Caenorhabditis elegans: one gene and its partners. The protein of the gene in region 3 interacts with the protein of the main gene of each other region in a pairwise test. Each region holds a gene or a part of one and is shown on either strand. Other genes may lie near its edges.

Evidence for each region.
Region 1: the proteins of mes-6 (region 3) and rfc-3 interact in a two-hybrid assay, tested with the Caenorhabditis elegans proteins (one large-scale study listed by BioGRID).
Region 2: the proteins of mes-6 (region 3) and F25H8.2 interact in a two-hybrid assay, tested with the Caenorhabditis elegans proteins (one large-scale study listed by BioGRID).
Region 4: the proteins of mes-6 (region 3) and K12H4.5 interact in a two-hybrid assay, tested with the Caenorhabditis elegans proteins (one large-scale study listed by BioGRID).

What each region holds. Positions count from the first base shown.
Region 1 is NC_003282.8:13,093,650-13,097,580, reverse strand, and holds rfc-3 (Replication factor C subunit 3), read right to left. Parts: upstream 1,820-3,931; 5' UTR 1,813-1,819; coding exon 1,637-1,812; intron 1,593-1,636; coding exon 881-1,592; intron 820-880; coding exon 643-819; 3' UTR 501-642; downstream 1-500. Other genes in the region: dli-1 (Dynein light intermediate chain), read left to right, coding at 1-2, 53-283, 331-465; C39E9.12 (SAP domain-containing protein), read right to left, coding at 2,202-2,407, 2,457-3,194, 3,241-3,391, 3,436-3,570; prcc-1 (Proline-rich protein PRCC), read left to right, coding at 3,825-3,890.
Region 2 is NC_003282.8:9,930,514-9,934,810, reverse strand, and holds F25H8.2 (H/ACA ribonucleoprotein complex non-core subunit NAF1), read right to left. Parts: upstream 2,577-4,297; 5' UTR 2,459-2,576; coding exon 2,414-2,458; intron 2,372-2,413; coding exon 1,991-2,371; intron 1,942-1,990; coding exon 1,833-1,941; intron 1,777-1,832; coding exon 1,631-1,776; intron 1,584-1,630; coding exon 1,340-1,583; intron 1,295-1,339; coding exon 1,047-1,294; 3' UTR 932-1,046; downstream 1-931. Other genes in the region: spe-29 (uncharacterized protein), read right to left, coding at 601-618, 663-759, 816-901; trmt-10A (tRNA (guanine(9)-N(1))-methyltransferase), read left to right, coding at 2,676-2,736, 2,783-2,979, 3,093-3,248, 3,295-3,564, 3,612-3,821.
Region 3 is NC_003282.8:8,508,994-8,514,081, reverse strand, and holds mes-6 (Polycomb protein mes-6), read right to left. Parts: upstream 2,799-5,088; 5' UTR 2,646-2,798; coding exon 2,451-2,645; intron 2,397-2,450; coding exon 2,166-2,396; intron 2,126-2,165; coding exon 1,952-2,125; intron 1,908-1,951; coding exon 1,723-1,907; intron 1,540-1,722; coding exon 1,459-1,539; intron 1,381-1,458; coding exon 1,021-1,380; intron 910-1,020; coding exon 756-909; 3' UTR 660-755; downstream 1-659. Other genes in the region: cks-1 (Cyclin-dependent kinases regulatory subunit), read right to left, coding at 1-132; C09G4.4 (uncharacterized protein), read right to left, coding at 316-442, 495-549, 605-659; FYVE, RhoGEF and PH domain-containing protein tag-77, read left to right, coding at 3,542-3,683, 4,681-4,895. UniProt on the Caenorhabditis elegans protein: Polycomb group (PcG) protein. PcG proteins act by forming multiprotein complexes, which are required to maintain the transcriptionally repressive state of homeotic genes throughout development.
Region 4 is NC_003281.10:8,042,014-8,045,280, forward strand, and holds K12H4.5 (uncharacterized protein), read left to right. Parts: upstream 1-2,473; coding exon 2,474-2,767; downstream 2,768-3,267. Other genes in the region: K12H4.6 (uncharacterized protein), read right to left, coding at 564-679, 733-862; spcs-3 (Signal peptidase complex subunit 3), read left to right, coding at 3,022-3,164, 3,264-3,267.

The DNA of each region.
Region 1 (3,931 bases), 4.6 Mb from region 3:
GTGTAAGTTTTACATAAGTAATTGGAGAATCCGAGTTCATGATTAATTTCAGGAGTCTATTCCGGATGTGGATTCAGCTTTAGAGCCGACTCGCGATAAGCTTAGACCTGTCGCAAAAGAGCAGCTCATCGAAGCCGAGGAAGATCAGGCTTTCTTGAAGAAGTTGATGGACATCCTGGCAACTTCAACCACTACGGCCGCTCCCAAGCCGAGGACTATGCAAGAAGAGCCTACCGATAAGGACAGTCCACTCGCCAATTTCTTCTCCAACTTGCTCAATAAGGTAAATCAATCTTAGATCTTTTTTCTATGTGAATTTCCATATTTCAGGACAAGCCGAGCAAGGTGAGCTCTCCTTCCACTGTTTCCCAGCCGATGGATGCCGCAGCCACCCAGGCCCAACTCGATCGTCTTCTGAAGTCTGCGCAAAGCCCGAAACCTCAACCCCGGGACAGTGATGCATAACGTCATTTTCATAATCTATTTAAATATTTTAAGCTTTATCGCCGGTCATTTTATTCTCCTTTGCGATACGATTTTTATTATATGCTGTTTCTGTAAATACCCACACAACCATAATGTAGTTCGTTTCAAGTTTATGATTACACAAAAGTAGAATAATATAATACGCGGGGACAGAGATCACTTGGGTTTAGAAGCATTAGTAAGGTAAATGTCCATGAAAGCGGCGACGAATCCTTCAAGATGGAAAATTGCTTTTTGTCCGAGAACAAGGCGATGCTCGAATTTCGCTGCTTCACTGACAACTTCACGTGCAATTTGTGGCGGACATTTGGGAAGGAGATGCTCGAGAAGTTTCTGAAAATGTATTTCTAAATATTTTTGAACATTTTATACTATTTGTGTGCTTATAACTCACCTTAAAAATGACAGTTGGTGGAATACATCTGGAGAGCAATTCGTACAATCGTTCGCGAACTTTCAGAAGCATATCGGAGCTCTGTTTCTGGAGGATCAGACGAGCAGTCTCTTGGATATAAATCTCCCATTCCGGAACCGGAATTACTACACTTTCAGCCACACCACTCTCGTTCTCCATTCTTAAAGCCTCAGTCATCAGAATAGCTCTTCTCAGATTTCCTTCAGACTTCTCCACAATCTTTTGCAAAACGTTCTCCGGAAGTAGAAAGCTCTCCCGTTCAATCACTTTCCGCAAGACTTTGGTCACATCTTCATCGGTTGGAGCTGGCACATTGATGATGATGCAACGAGATTGAAGTGGCTCAATGATACGGGACAGGGATTCACAGCTCAAAACGATTTTACAGTTATTCGCGTACTTCTCCATAGTTCGACGAAGTCCGTGTTGAGCATCACGAGTCAGTGAGTCCGCTTCACAAAGAACGACAACTTTGAACGATCTTTGAGAAGTTGATTCGATTTGAGACGTTTGTGCCATTTCTTTAACGAGATCCTGCACAACAACTCGATCATAGATTCCAACATCAGACGGCGTCATTTCGATGTGATAATTGCTCGAGACAGTCTGTATTTCAAGTTTTTTATTCGACGGACTAGTGAACGACTTCATGATGAGCTGCGTTTTCTCGACTCCAACACCGTAAAGCTCTCTGAAAAATATTATTTTATTTACTGAATTTACCAATAATTAAACCTCAACAGACACTTGATCCGTGTCTTTTTTCCAGCTCCACTGGGACCACAGAACAAGAGATGCGGCATACAGTCTGCGGAGAGAAACTTCAAATGATTGGCCTGCTCGATGTGATAATCAACGCCATCCTTTCCCAACAAGTCCTTTGGTCGATATTTGTCCACCCACAACGCCATTTTTGCACTAGAAAAGATTAATATTATATTGTCAGAGTAATTAAAGTCCAAAATAAGCGCGAGAAATAGAAGGTGGAACCCGAAAAGTAATTCCGCGGCACGCGCTTTTATGGTAAATTAAAAAATTAAACCGTGCCGCGAATTGCGCTTCGGGAATCCGGATCCACCGTATATTTCTTGCTAAAAAAATTAAAAGACATATTCAAAGATATCACAATTGTCGCAAACAATTGAATAGAGGAATAAATAAATAGAAAATAAATAAAGAGAATTGTAATAAATTAAAAGAATTCATTTTCAGAAACTCGACAAGTCAACAACGAAATATTTTACAGGTTTAGCCTAGTGAGACGAGTGAGTGAAGATAAATAAGAAAATAATTGAGATATCTACTTGATATTCATTTTACGCTTGAGTGCGATAATGTCGTCACGGCGCTTCTTGTTCTCCACTTGTTGTTTCTCGAGGTTCGTGGCAGCTCTTCCGGGGATTAATCCTTCCTCCAGTGCCAAAGTGAACTCGCGATCCGTCAATTGAGTCGTGTCGACGAACACTTTTCTCGTAGAGTGTGGTGTGTAACCAGCACGTCGTGGAACTAAAAATTGCTATGAATTAGCGAAAAAAAGATAAATATGAATAGTTACCTCTAGTTGGAGTGGTTCCTTTTGGCGTGGAAATGTACTCGGTGAATGTATCATCTTCTGGGACAGTTGCAGGAATGATTTTTCGAGAAGTTAAACGGCATGGTTTCGGGATTTGTGACTTGGTGAGCTTCTTCACGTCCACATGAGATCTTGCAACGGACTTTGTCTTTTTGGTAGAGGTGGTGGCAGCAGATGACGATGAGCAGCCAGCTCGTGAGCTGACAAGAGCGGGAAAATCATCAGCAGATTTATCCCCGAATTGGAAGGACATTTTCTCAGGATCCTGAACTTGCCAATTGCGCGCAGCAGATCTTGTAGTTGATCTATCAACTGGGTCACGTCTTGGCACACTTTTCGGGGTAGCAAGTCTCCTGATAGCTTCTGGGACGTCGCCGGTCATGAATTCGTGTCGTTTCTTCAATCGTTCTTGACGCTCTCCGAGTGTTTCTTCTTTTTCCATCTCTCTTGCATGAATCATTGCGAATCTGTCTCTTCCACTGGATGGAGCACGCTGACGAACTGGCGTAATTCCTCTGTTCTCGATCGGCATTCCTGGTCGCTCAGATGTTTGAGGAGTCGACGAACTAGCGCGGAGAGACAGTCTTGTCGAAAGACGATGAACTCTCGGGCGTGACTTCACCTCGAAGCTTTGCAGATCGATTCCCAAACTGCCACAGAGACGGTTTCTCAAGTCATCATCCAAAACGACAGCAACCGCATTTGTCGGAGTATTCTCGTCTGTAATAAAGCTGTTTAAATTTCAACTAAATGGAATATAACTTACGAACAAATCTGCCAGTAGTATTCTCAGTTTCTTCTTCCTCTTCAACTGTGAATGTGCGATTGGCAGGTGCTTCGTCGGTGTCCATAGCCTCGGCTTCCGGCTCTTCCCTGATTGCCTCCCCGTTTCCGGCATTATTTTGGCCAGCGAGAAACTGAAAAAGTTAAATTAATCACATTGTTTCGACTGAGTTCAAACCTCCAAAAGACGCGATTGAAGTTCCGATTTCTTTCCCGCAGTCGAAGCCCTTTTCTTCTTTAACTCCTTGCGAAGCTTGTCGCATGTCATGTTGAGCACGTCCTCTTCGGCGAGCTCTTTATTTTTGGCTGACATTTTACTGAAATTATTATTTTTATTGAATAGTGAGAACAGAAAAGCAAATGAAACAAGGAACAAATGAACAAGAAACAAAATAGGACTCAAGAAATTTCCCTCCATCGCTGTTTGAAAAATTGTGTTTTTCGCGCGGTGTACGTTGGAGCGCTGTTGCTTTCTTATTGTGTGTAGTCCTCTCGAATAAAGAAATCAATATTCGTATTGTTTATTTCGTCTGAAATTATTCGTTTCTTCGAAGAATTCTTCTCAAAATGGGCCTTGTGGATTACGCAGGAAGTGAATCAGAAAGTGATGAAGAAATGGAAACACAACAAAAAGTAAGCAAATTATTCTTTATTCAGTTTGAAAACATTTTCGA
Region 2 (4,297 bases), 1.4 Mb from region 3:
ATATGGGGGCAATTTAGACATTCTTGAACAAAGTTTCTGAACAAAAAAGAAGCGGAAACTGTTTAAAATTTCTCGATATGTATATCCATCAATTTTGCGAATCGCTGAAGTTTGATTTTCCTGATCGATGTTTGCTCCTGTCCTAACTTCGCTAAGTAATTTAGTCTTATCGCAGGAGAATCTTTTTTGTTTTTATTTTTTAATTTGTTCAGTTCAATTACATACTCATTATAGCCTGAGCTTTAAATCTTTCCTTATTTCCAGTTGTTTTCTTTTTTTGCTTTCCTTGTTTTCTATGTTTCAAAAATCCTTGTTTTCCTATTATACTGCCTTTCCTTTTTTCACTTTTCCAACCCACCCGCTGCTTTCCTTCTTCCAGTTAATCTTTTTTTATTAATTGTTTTTTTTAGATATTCTAATTTTCAGCCAGCTTCTTCCTGCCGTTCCTTTCTTTTCTCTTTTTTTCTCTATTCCACTTTACCCACAAGTTTTTCATAGCACTGCATAATATTTATTAAACTTTAGTCAATTCAAATATTTTATTAAAATAGAGTAATAGAGCCTCGCCTTCTTCTGAACGTTATAATAAAAATATAAAATTCAATCGTGAAGTTTACGCTGAAAGAAAACATACAAAAATTAGAATTACTCGTGAAGCTTACTCGAATAACTTTTGGAAATATTCCAAACCATCCGAAAAATATGACTCCGACGAGAAGAACTGAGAAAGCAATCAAAGAAATTCCCCCAATAAGATCACTGAAAAAATACGATTTCCAGAGCATAGCTCACAGCTGCGAAGAATTTGAACTCACAGAGCCATTCCATAACAAATTGGACCATTTTCCCAGCTGCAGATGAACCAAATTCGGTTTCCGTTGTGAGTATGACTATTCGTCATTTTGATATTATAGCAATTTATGATTTTAAAATGTAAAAATGAAGTTTATTCACGCGTCAATTCCAAAAGTGCAACAATAACAACGAAAAAATGTTACAATATATCCAACAAAGTATTCAATGTGTAACGATATTTTAACAAAAAATTAAATTCCAAAACGTCCGTTGAATCCAGAATGACATCCGAATTCGGCATATGGATTTGATTCGGTTGATTGTGCTGGACGAGCAGGTGGCGGTGGCGCAGATGGCTGCTGAGGGATGGGCCCAAGATTATCCGATCTGGCAGGTGGATTCTGAGCAGAAAATCTAACTTTTTGTCCTCCGCGGCGATCTCGTTTTCGCCCTCTGTTCGAATCGAATCCTCTTGACATTTGACTAGCTGGTTGGGTATCTGAAAATTACTAGAATTTGAAAGTAAATTTCAATTATATCTTACATGTGGTGCGTTTAAATTCTTTCTCCGCTTCATCATCACTGAACTCCACGTCACTACCGATGCCAACCTGAGCCATCGTTTCACCAGCTTTTGCAACAGCTTCTTGATGATCAATGCGACGATTTAGGGATTTAATAGCATCCCTATTTGCTGCAGCAAGATTAAGTCCTTTGAATGGAGTTTTGGAAAATTGTTCTTCTGTAGGAGCATAATATACTTTCATGTCAATGGGTATCATCGATGCCTATAAAACTTCTGTTATATATTTTATTTGTCTACTAAAAGCTTCACCTCTTCACAAGAATTGAATCGAATAACGTATTGTGGATTTTTGACTTGTCCAAAAATGTCATAAATTTGTCCCAACGCATTTCCTTTTTGATCGAAAAGAAATGAATCGAAGTCGAGAACTTCTGTGCATGTTGAAATGATAACAACTGAAATACCAATTCAATTAACATTTTATATAAGGTTGACATTTTTGACAATTTACCTTGACAATCCACGACTTTGCTTACAAAACCAAATTCCAGCAATTGTCCTTTACATTCAATACTGAGATTCTCGAGTGGTGGCATATCATCATACTCGTGAACATTACGCTAGAAATCTAATCATTCGAAAAAACATTTCAAAATAATGAAACCTTACCGTTTTTTGTGACTTTTTTGGCTTCCGCTGCTTTTTTCCATTTTCATCCGGGTACTCTGACTTGTGTGTCTTCTCAATAATCTTTGCGGAAAACTTTACTAGCCTGTCAAACTCTTCATCAGAATCAAGTGCACCGGCTCGTAAATCGTTGATATTTTCGAAATCGCTATCATCTCCAGAAAACTCAAATTCACTTTCAGTGTCGCATCCGAAGCTTTTCAATGATGGAGCCTGGCGAATTTCAGTAGGATTCACAACGGTGATAGGATCAACAAGATCCAAAAGTTGATCGACGATTCCATCTTCTGTCTTCATTCCAATTTTTGCGGGAAGTGTTGGTCGAGCACAGAAAGCAAGTGGCACAGGATTTCGATCGATAGTCTAAAATATGGAATATTTTTGGAATTTAAAAGGAAAACATACAATTGAATCATCCAGATTTTCGACTTTAATTGTTTCTTCCTCCATTCTTGATAATATTTTTGCAATGAGTGTAAATAAAAGAATTAACCTAAAAACGAAATAAATTTTTTAATTGAAAAAATTTTTGACGCGAAATCGGAGTGTCGTTTGTTAGTTTGTCATTGGAGCATGTTTGCATTTCACTGATTTCTCTCATTTTTTTTTTTGAAAACATTAAAAAATATATTCTAAATATCATTTTGGCATCTTTAAGTGGAAAATTATGTCGGAGGAAACAATCGAAAAATTTGAAGATAATGTGGAGCATCAAAATCAAGACCAACGTGAGTTTTCCGTTGCATCAGTATGTATTGAATTATAATATTCCAGCAGTACCAGAGGGAATGTCGAAAAAGCAACTGCGACGTCAAAAATACAAGGTGAAATGGGAAGAAAAGAAGTTAGTCAAACGTGCAGCGGAAAGAATTCGAAAAAAGGAAAAACGAGCAGCGCTGAAAGAATCGGGAGATCTTTCAAAGTTGAGGAAACGAAAAGATTTCAGAACAATGGCTCAGTCTAATAGCAAGGTAATATACGATTCCAGTAATTTGTTTAACATTAACTTTTGAACATTCATACAGTAAAAATGTTTTCAACTGGTAAAATCTGACAATTTCCTTAGACTAAAACAACTTTTTAGCAACGAATTGCTTTGGACATGTCATTTGACGATTTGATGATTGAAAAGGATCAAAAACGTACAGTTCAGCAAATCGGATGGTGTTATACTGCGAACAGACACAGTCCTGATCCATTTCAATTTCATGTTGTGGGGTTCGATGGACCATCGAGAAAAGTAATTTTGTTTTCGCACAACAAGTGTTTTAATTGGTTTTGTTGAGATTTATGATGGTAATGAGCACAACCTGAATCAAGACATCCATCTTCACCAAGAAAAATTGGAAAATTTATTTAAACCAGAGGAAATAGTTTATTTGACTTCTGAATCTGAAAATGTCCTGAGCGATCTTGATGATACGAAAGTGTATGTAATTGGAGGAATTGTGGATCATAATTCTCAAAAAGGATTGTGCTATCGAATCGCTCAAGAAAAAGGATTTGGTCATGCAAAATTGCCTTTAGATGAACATCTTCTCATGAAATCTCGACGGGTAATCGGTTTCCATATTTTTGTCCCATAATATTCTTCTGATTTCAGGTACTCACTATCAATCAAGTCTATGAAATTCTGGTTCATTACTCTGTTCACAAAAACTGGAAAGATGCTCTTCTTTCAATTATTCCAGAACGGAAGAATGCTCAATTGAAAGAGGAAGTTGTGGAAGAAAAGCCAGAAAGCCTAGAAGAAATTGGAAAATTAGACACAGAATCCACCGATACTGCCACGGGCTCTCCTAAAATAAATTAATCATTTTCATATTTTAAAATTACACCCAAATGTTGTTATTATTTGTTAACCATTTTCGTTATTTTTTATTGCTTATGAATTTTTCAAAATCAATTCGGATAATATATTGACTACACAACCAGCAATTATAGAACAATTTCGCTCTTTTTGAATGGCATGATTCCCGCCCAATCCGGATTTCAATCTCGTTTTCCATACATTTTCAAAGGCTTGGCAGATTGATGTTCCGTTCCGTCGGTTTTTCACTTTTTCATATTTTTAGATTGCTTCAAGTAAATATTTGTTTTGAGAGAAGGAGTTCAACTTTCAGGATTTTTTTTATTTTTTATATTGTAATTTCACAAGATTTTGGCATGCTTTTTTAAAGGCACACGGATTTGTTCAGATGGGTCTCGGGGCGCAAAAAAATTTATGGTAGTTTTTTTGCAACTGCTTTCATGGTAATTTTGCTTACATTTTTCAATAAAATTCCTTTT
Region 3 (5,088 bases):
CTCTGTTTCGGACATCAATCGATTTTTTGGGATAAGCTTGGAAACATCCTTGGTGACATGAACGTGACGGTACTCGAACTCATCATCTTCGTATTTGTTTGAATAGTAGAAATCATTGTTTCCAGTTGTCATTTTGTTGGTTGGCGTGAGAAGGTGCGACTCTGAAATAATTCATTTTATTAACAAGCATCGGGAAATAGAAACGGACAAAAATAAGGAAAGAATAAAAAATATTGAAAAAAAAGAGAAGAATGGGAATGAGACAAGAGTGAGAATGGTGAGGAACACTGCATGTACAGACAAATCGATAAATGCTCATTGCTGACGCTGTCTGAATTGATCGATAACATCAACAGAGTCGAGTTTCCCGCGTGTTTCAAAATACTCGTCCTTTGACATTGGAATTTGACAGTGCTTGGTTGACCCAGCAGAGGAAGATGATCTGAAATAAAAAAGGTAATAACATGAAAGCTAATAAAATTTTCAAAACTCACTGAACATTCAAAAACGTCTTCTTTTTGTCACTTTGTAAGTTGCTGTCGACTGTCACTGAATTAGAAAAATTAGATAATCAGAAAACGAAAATAATCTCTTCGAAACTCACACATAAAGCTATGTTTAGGTGAAGAATAATCCTTAGAGGAGGTTGGGGATGACATTAGGAACTGCAAAATTGTAATGTAAAATCCACTGAAGATGATCGAAGATGAAATCACAACGAGATATAAAAAATTGAAGGTGAGAAGGAATGATATTCAAAATTTTGCCAGGTCCTTAGCGTCGACAGACGCAGATACACGATCAAATCGACAAACAAATCCTTCGTCAGTTACTAGTACTAGGAATCGGCCACATGTAGAGAAAGAAGCTTGCCGAACTGTACGTGAGCCAACGGAACAAGTGTGAGTCCTGTAAAAAAAAAAACAGGAATTTATACTGGTAATCACAGCAAAAATATTTCTATAATTTTTAAGAGATATCGAACATCTCAGAAATTATTTTTCTTGATATTTTACTTACGGATTGGTTTCTTCATTATTTCTCAAATCGAAAAACATCACAGAACCACCAGCTCCACCGCACACCAGCCATCGTCTTCTTGGATCAACGGCGAATTTGATAAACCATGCAGAACCACTCGGAACATTCATTGTACGAAATTTCGTTGTACACGACTTTGGACGGAGAACATTTCCATGAATGCGATTTTCAACTTCTCCCTTAGGTGGCCCAAATCTCCAAAAATGAATTGCCTTTTCATTGCCACATCCTTTTGATAGTGCGTAGTTAGTACCGATAAGAAATCGAATGCAATCCACATAATCAGAATGCATATCAGTTGATACGGAGGATGGAGTATAAATTGGAAGAAGGCAGCTCCTGAAAAAGAAGAAAACGATAGAACCAGATTCGTTGAAACAACTTTAAAAAAGTAATGGATGCCGAAAATCAACGTACGGTCGGGGTATGAGCTCTCTGTGAAGTTCGAGCAATTGATCTTCTTCTTTGTCGGGAATGTTGCGAGAAACTGCAGACTTTCTAAAAATACAAAAATGAATTACATTATGATTTGATAGCCCTGGTCTCTTTATTTACCAGTCTTTTATCCAAAACTCAAGTTTCAAAAATATTTTTATATACAACAACAGCAACAATTTTCGCGTTAAGGACTGATCAAATACTAGAAGGAACTAGAAAATGTTAGCTGAATAATTGATTTACCTCATTGTTCCTTTCGAAACATACGGAATATCTTGTGATTGTGTTAGCACATTTATTTTATCTTGGTGAAGAGCTTTGCACGCTCGTTCCAAATGTTCCTTTACTTGTTTCACAGATAAATCCCACTCCATGAGTTGATGATCGAATCCACACGATAAAATGAAGTCTCCGTCGGTTGACCAATCCTAAAATGAGAAATTCGAAACGTAAGTAAATTTAATAAACCAACCACAGAAAGAATTGTTCCAGCATGACACTCGAGACCCCCAATAACAATCAGACATGCTTCGTTTCGAATATGATGAATCCGGATAGATTGATCTGATGAAGCACAGACAATCAGATTTGAGTTGGCAGGACACGTACGAATGTCATTGATTTCCCATCCAACACTCCGAAGACGCTAAAACTCCAAATTATTTCAGTAATTTTTGATTATTTACATTCGACAGCTTCCTCGAGACGTAGTCGATAACGTAAATGTGACCCAAAGTTCCACCCGTTACAACTTTAAAGGGATTTCGGTCGTTTTCAGCTTCATATGTGTCGTAACACCAGGTAACAGTGAAGAGCGACTCCTCTCGTTCGACCTTTGATGATTTATCGGTAGGAAAATTACAAGACCACTGCAGCTCAATGTTATTTATGTCGATGGGAACAGAATACATGTGAAGCTGAAAAACAAATATTTATACCTCATTGTCAGTTTCCTGCTAAATAACGCTTACAAAGCTTCCTCCGACAGTTGCAACCGCTTGTTCCTCATCTATTCCTGCGTATTGATTGAATGCACATCCGTAAATAGCTTTCTTCTGATCTTCAAGTAGCTTGGCAGTTAGTACAAAAGGTCGTTTTCCGTAATCCTCTGTACTTCGATCAAACCCGTGAAGATTTAATGATTTGAACTTTTTCGTGTGCTCCATTCAGGTTTTTGGGAAAAAGGCAAGAAACAATATATAACAAAATAAAAACTTCACAGTAAAAACATAAAAAAGTCGATTAACTATCAAATTTGCAGTGAAAAAGGAAAAAAATGACAATAAAAACAACAGAAAAACTAAAATATGGCCGCTCGCGCGCATTTCTCGTTCAAATTGCATTAGTGGTGAAAAGCGCGGCGAGACCCAACGAGCGCATAACCTCATGCACCTTTAAAGTGTTATTTTTTTATTACAATTTTTTGTTCTCATTTTGGATTCTGTTCGAAAGTTCCGGGAGGTATTTGTGATTTCGATTGGGAATATGATAGAAAAGACAGTTGCCAGCTTAAATTTTGTATTGTCGTGAAGTACCACTTCCAATTTCGGAGTGGATTCGAACGGGATTAAGTAGATTTTGTACTCGGCTTTTTTCGCAAGGAGCGAAACTAATAATTTTGTATATTTTTTTTGTATGATCCTATATTGCTACGTGAGCTATTGTCAGTTAAAAAAAATGTTTTTGTGGTCTTTTTCAGATTTCAGAGCGATCAACTTGGGGGTATTCATTCATATTTATTATTTAGTAAAATTGTCCTTATATCAAAAGATCCACTTTGTGAATTCCGTAGACTTCTTTCATTTTTGCTATTTCGAATTTGTCTTCGTCGGCTGCTGACTCATCCATATCCCTGCGTCTCCAATGCCTGATTCTCTGCGTCTTGTGTGATTTTTTGTTGCTTCAACCTGTTCTTCTAGCGGTTGCCTTTTTCTCATGCTGTGACTGTTCCCGTTCATTACTAATTCTTAATTTCATAATATTTTAGTGTTATCGTTTTTTCTTCAATTTTTTAGCCAAAATGTTATCTCGAACGAGCTATAGTTATTTTCAGATCGCCTGTATGAAATATGACATGAACCATCGCAAAAATTCTGATGATACTCCACCGGCGTCTAGGACCGTCAAAGAAATGATGGCAGAGTTTCAAAATAAACTGGACGACGGAGACAACAGATTCCGGAAGCAACCACCACCGCCACCTTGTGAGTCTGAAACAGAGAAGACGTCTTGTATTTACTGTCGACAATTGATTGAGGCGTAGCAAAAAACTTCGTTTGCTTTGTTATCTGTGGAGAAAATAAAAGTTACGAAATTTCTTGAAAAAAAAAACTAAAAAATAATTTTTTTAAAAACTATTTATGTCTGTATTTATTGATAATAACTAAATAGATCATATGATCATAGTATTGAAAAAGAGAGAACCGAAAATCGGGTTGACAATGATTCTGTGAGTTAAAAAAAACAGTCAATTTTTCGAAAAAAAAATCTGCCTTAAACTCCACCAACAGTGAATCGAATTAATTTTTAAAGGAAATTAAGTTCTCATTTCAATTTATATATTCGTTGTTAGAATCTAGACGAAAATTCATAAATATTTTGTTACTATCATTTTTTTTTCTATTAACTTTTACAATATCGTAGAACAACTGATTTCCGTGTTAAAATTGTTTTTTGACTGTTCTTCTTCCTATTGCTTTTTGTTAACGAAAAATGCCCAATTTTCTTCAAAGTTCCTATCAAATCTGTACAGACGCGTGACCGATTGCGAAAGTAGTCAAAAAGAAGTATAAAGGCTTTTCGCAATATTGTTTGCCTAAAGGTGCCACTTGACAGATTTTACTCCTTTGTCGCCAAGAAGTGTACTAGTAATAAATTTTAGAAAATTGGGTTGTGTCCTTATATTAATTACTTGGATTATCGCCAACATTTGATTAAAATAGTCATTCTTGTGTGAACACTTGCCAAAAATATATTCACTATTTAACTTCTGTTGGTATTATTGTTCCACCCCCCGGAAGTGACCAATTTTCCGTCTGCCACTGTGTGTGCCTAGTGGTATGACTCATTTATTGAAAGAAAAACAATTATTTTATCATCTCTCAAAATGAGTGAAGCAGATACAATTACAGCAATTAGATAGTTTAAATATACCTATGAGGTTAACAGATTGGAAGATTCATTTTTAAAACAATTTTGCAGCCCCAAGACGAGCTCCACCACCGCCTCCTCATCGGAAACCTGCATCATTATCTCCACCTCCAGACGATGAGAATACAATTCGACCGCCGTCTTCTTCAGAATCGTCCGAAAATATTCCTGAAGAACCGCAGGAATTGATTACGCCAAATACAACGAGACGAAGTCTTGGACCAAAGCCAACTGTTGCTCCAAAACCATTATTTCTGAATGGATTGGTGAGATTTTAAATTAAATAATATTTTTATGAAAAATAAAAAAGGTCTTCCCATACTGGAAAAAGTTAACCAAATCGTCTGTCACATTATTATGAAAAAAGTGATGAGCTCTCAATTGGGCAGATGTGCAAATAGAGCTTGTGCCCCCGATCGTGTCCCCATTTTCAAAAAGTTTTATTGCTAAGTATTCTTT
Region 4 (3,267 bases), on a different chromosome or scaffold from region 3:
CTAGAGCCAAATGACCATAATAAACTCTTTTCATTTCATAGTAAACAAATTTCTAGACATTAAAAAAAACCACGATGTAATCTGGAAACTCTTACGCCACCGTACCACTACAGTAACCCAACAGTATCCTTCCACTAACTCCAACTCAGTATCCCATCAAAAGAAAACAACTGAAACTTACTTGCACTACTCGAAAATTATACATAAATTTTTTCATATCTAGAAAAGTCTAGAATATACTAGGACATAATAGAACATATTGAGCTTATTTACAGATGCAGAGGCTTTTTAAGAGGGAAGCAATCACGAAACGTCCTCTTGGAAATCAATGCTGCCGGATTGACAGATCTCAAATTGTAGGCACTGACGGCTCAAAATGCTTAGACATGTTTAAGCTCGATCTTAGCTTGAATCCATGCCAATCAATAGACTTGTTTATACACGTCTGAGATTAAATGCATGACATCAGATCATCTCTCTGATTCAGATGAGAGAGAGCTGACCAAATACACTTCCTTCAATAAGACACCATTTACTATTGATCAAAGATTTATTACCAGTTATCAATGTGAGCAGCAATTGCATCCGCAACCGGTGACGGCTGTGGTTGTCGACGCTCCAGTTGTAGCTCCTCCAATAGTGGCCGTTGTGCTGGATCCAGTTGGGGTCATTGTCGATGCTAAAAAAGAATTTCCGTCCAAACTCAAACTAAAAGAAAATACTGAAATTTACCGGTAGGAGCTGCGGTTGAAACTGCAGCAGGTGGGGCGGTTGCCATGCCAGTTCTGGCCTTAACGAACTTTCCCTTTGAATCGCGCTGACGAGCTCCCTGTCGTTTAAATTGTTGTTTCGATTGAGGCATCGTAAATAGTACTGATTTTATTTGAAAATCGAAAGCGAAATTATTTGCTGATGACCTTTTGAGATAAGAGATAGACCCGGTCAAATTTGGAATGTTTCAGGTGCTTTTTGTTTTGGTGTGGTTTTTTAAAAACTCAACTGTTCTAACGAGGAACAAAATGAAATCGATCCATTAAAAATCGAATAGTAAAATATTTACAGTATCCGTTTAAAGGCACACTATTGAAGCTTTGAATCATTGAATTTCCAATACTTCCTGTCAACAATCTTTCGTAGAGTCTGTATAACTGCGAAGTCTGGCTTATCGGACGGAAACAGGAGTGTGCGGCAACTTGACCTCTATGCCTACTAGGCAACCTGCACCTGTCCATGTGCCTATAAGGCAGCCTACGCATACCTTCTTGTCTACAGGACAACTTTCGGCTACCTACGTTAATTCTGAAAGGACTGGAGAGAAATAAAAAATAGATAAAATTTGAGTGAATAAAGCTTTCAGAATTTAGGCATACCTCCTTGCCTATAATGCAACCTATGCCTGTTTGTGTTCCTACAACTCTGATGAATACTTTTTCATACTTCTATGAGTTTAAGAATAAAATACGGGAATCTGTAAGCATTGTACAAAATTTACATTAATTAATTACTCTATATTTTCTACATATTAGTGATGCATCTCCATTAGTACTTCAGTCTCTAATAATGCGTCTTCCCAAGAGTCACCTCTACAGTTTCGACATTTTGGGTAGGATTTTTTATTTTTTGGCTAAGCCCCCTAAGCAGCCCATATATAGTAAAATATCAAGTAGTGAAACAGTATTTGCCCAAAAAATGTGGTGGCGGTAGCGCGGTGTTATTTAAAAGAACTCTTAATTTGACAATATATAAATAACGAAATGGCTTTGTGTTGGAGCAGGATTATACTAGCCCAACTCGGAGAATAATAAATTATTCGAAATTTTCAAACTATAATTGTTTTTTTAACAAATATTATAAAACACAGAAAATGATAATTGACAATTACGATTCTCGTCCAGCCGTGTTTCCCAATTTCTCTTTCCATGAGGTCTCTCTCTCACGAATCGCTATTCTCTTTTTCGCGATGTCTCAGCTTGCGCATTTCGTGGATAGTTCTACTGACACATTTCTCGTAACTGGCGCATTTCTCGACTCTATTACGCGTATTTATTTTTCGTATTTTGCAACGTTTTCTTATAATTTTAAAGCCATTTGCTTTCAAATTTATGTATTTCAGTCATCGAAAATTATTAGAATATTGTAGCCAAACAGAAATATTATAATCAATCTAAAAATATACGTTTAATTCGTTTGGCTCTTTGAAGGCAGAAGTGACAGAATACAATTAAGTTAAATACGTTTAATCGGATTAAGTTTTCTTCAAAGATTACACTGAATATGTGAAATCATTTATTGATTTAGTAATATCGTTTTGTTTTTGTCTTCTCTGAACAATTAACCCGTTCCACCTCGTATTAAATTAATTAATTTATAATGTGATCCTTTTTTTGGCATGTCGATTCATTATGATATAACTTACTAATTTCCGAGACTTTCTTGCTTTATTTTTGGCATTATTAGAGGATGTTACAGGGTGATGATCAAGTACCACGTGTCGCGAAGCGCCCGACTCTGGGCTTACTGGAGCACCCTGCCACATCGAATGCTCAAGAAATACCCGGAGCAAACTATCTTCTACGCGACTTTCGGAGTAGCCACACTATTGATTGGCGGATATAAAATGAAGAAGTACTTGACAGAAAGTGATAAGCCATTCTACCGCGGATACTACGACGTCGTCCGTTCCAACGACCCAATCGCACAAAATTGGAGAAAACCAGAAGAATATCCAGCACCGTATCTTCTTTCAAGTGTTGAGACAGCTCATTGATCAATCGTCCAAAATAATCAACGAGAAGCCAATAAGTCGTAGACGATTTTCGATTTTCACTGTAAATTGGACACATTCGGTGTTTTATTTTTTAGAAGAGTTTTTAAAATGTAAATGAAAGTTTTCCTTTTTAAAATTTGTTTTCATTTGTCTACTGAAGTGTTTCAGCCACAACAATTATATTTTCTATATGTATTTATATTAATTTTATTTTTCATTTTTATCCAAAGTTTCAGGCTGATTCGAGCTCAAAGATGCACAATCTTCTGTCTCGTGCTAACGCACTCCTAGCGTTCACTCTTTGGGTGATGGCCGCAGTCACAGCAGCTTGTTTCCTGTCAACAGTTTTCCTCGACTACACTGTTCCAACCAAGCTCACTGTCAACGATGTCAAAGTGTAGGTTTTATAAGAGAAATAAAAAAATTGCGAAATTCTTTCAAGCGTTTCTCCGAAAACATTTTAAACGTATTTCTGTAAATCTTATTCCATTTTCAGGAGA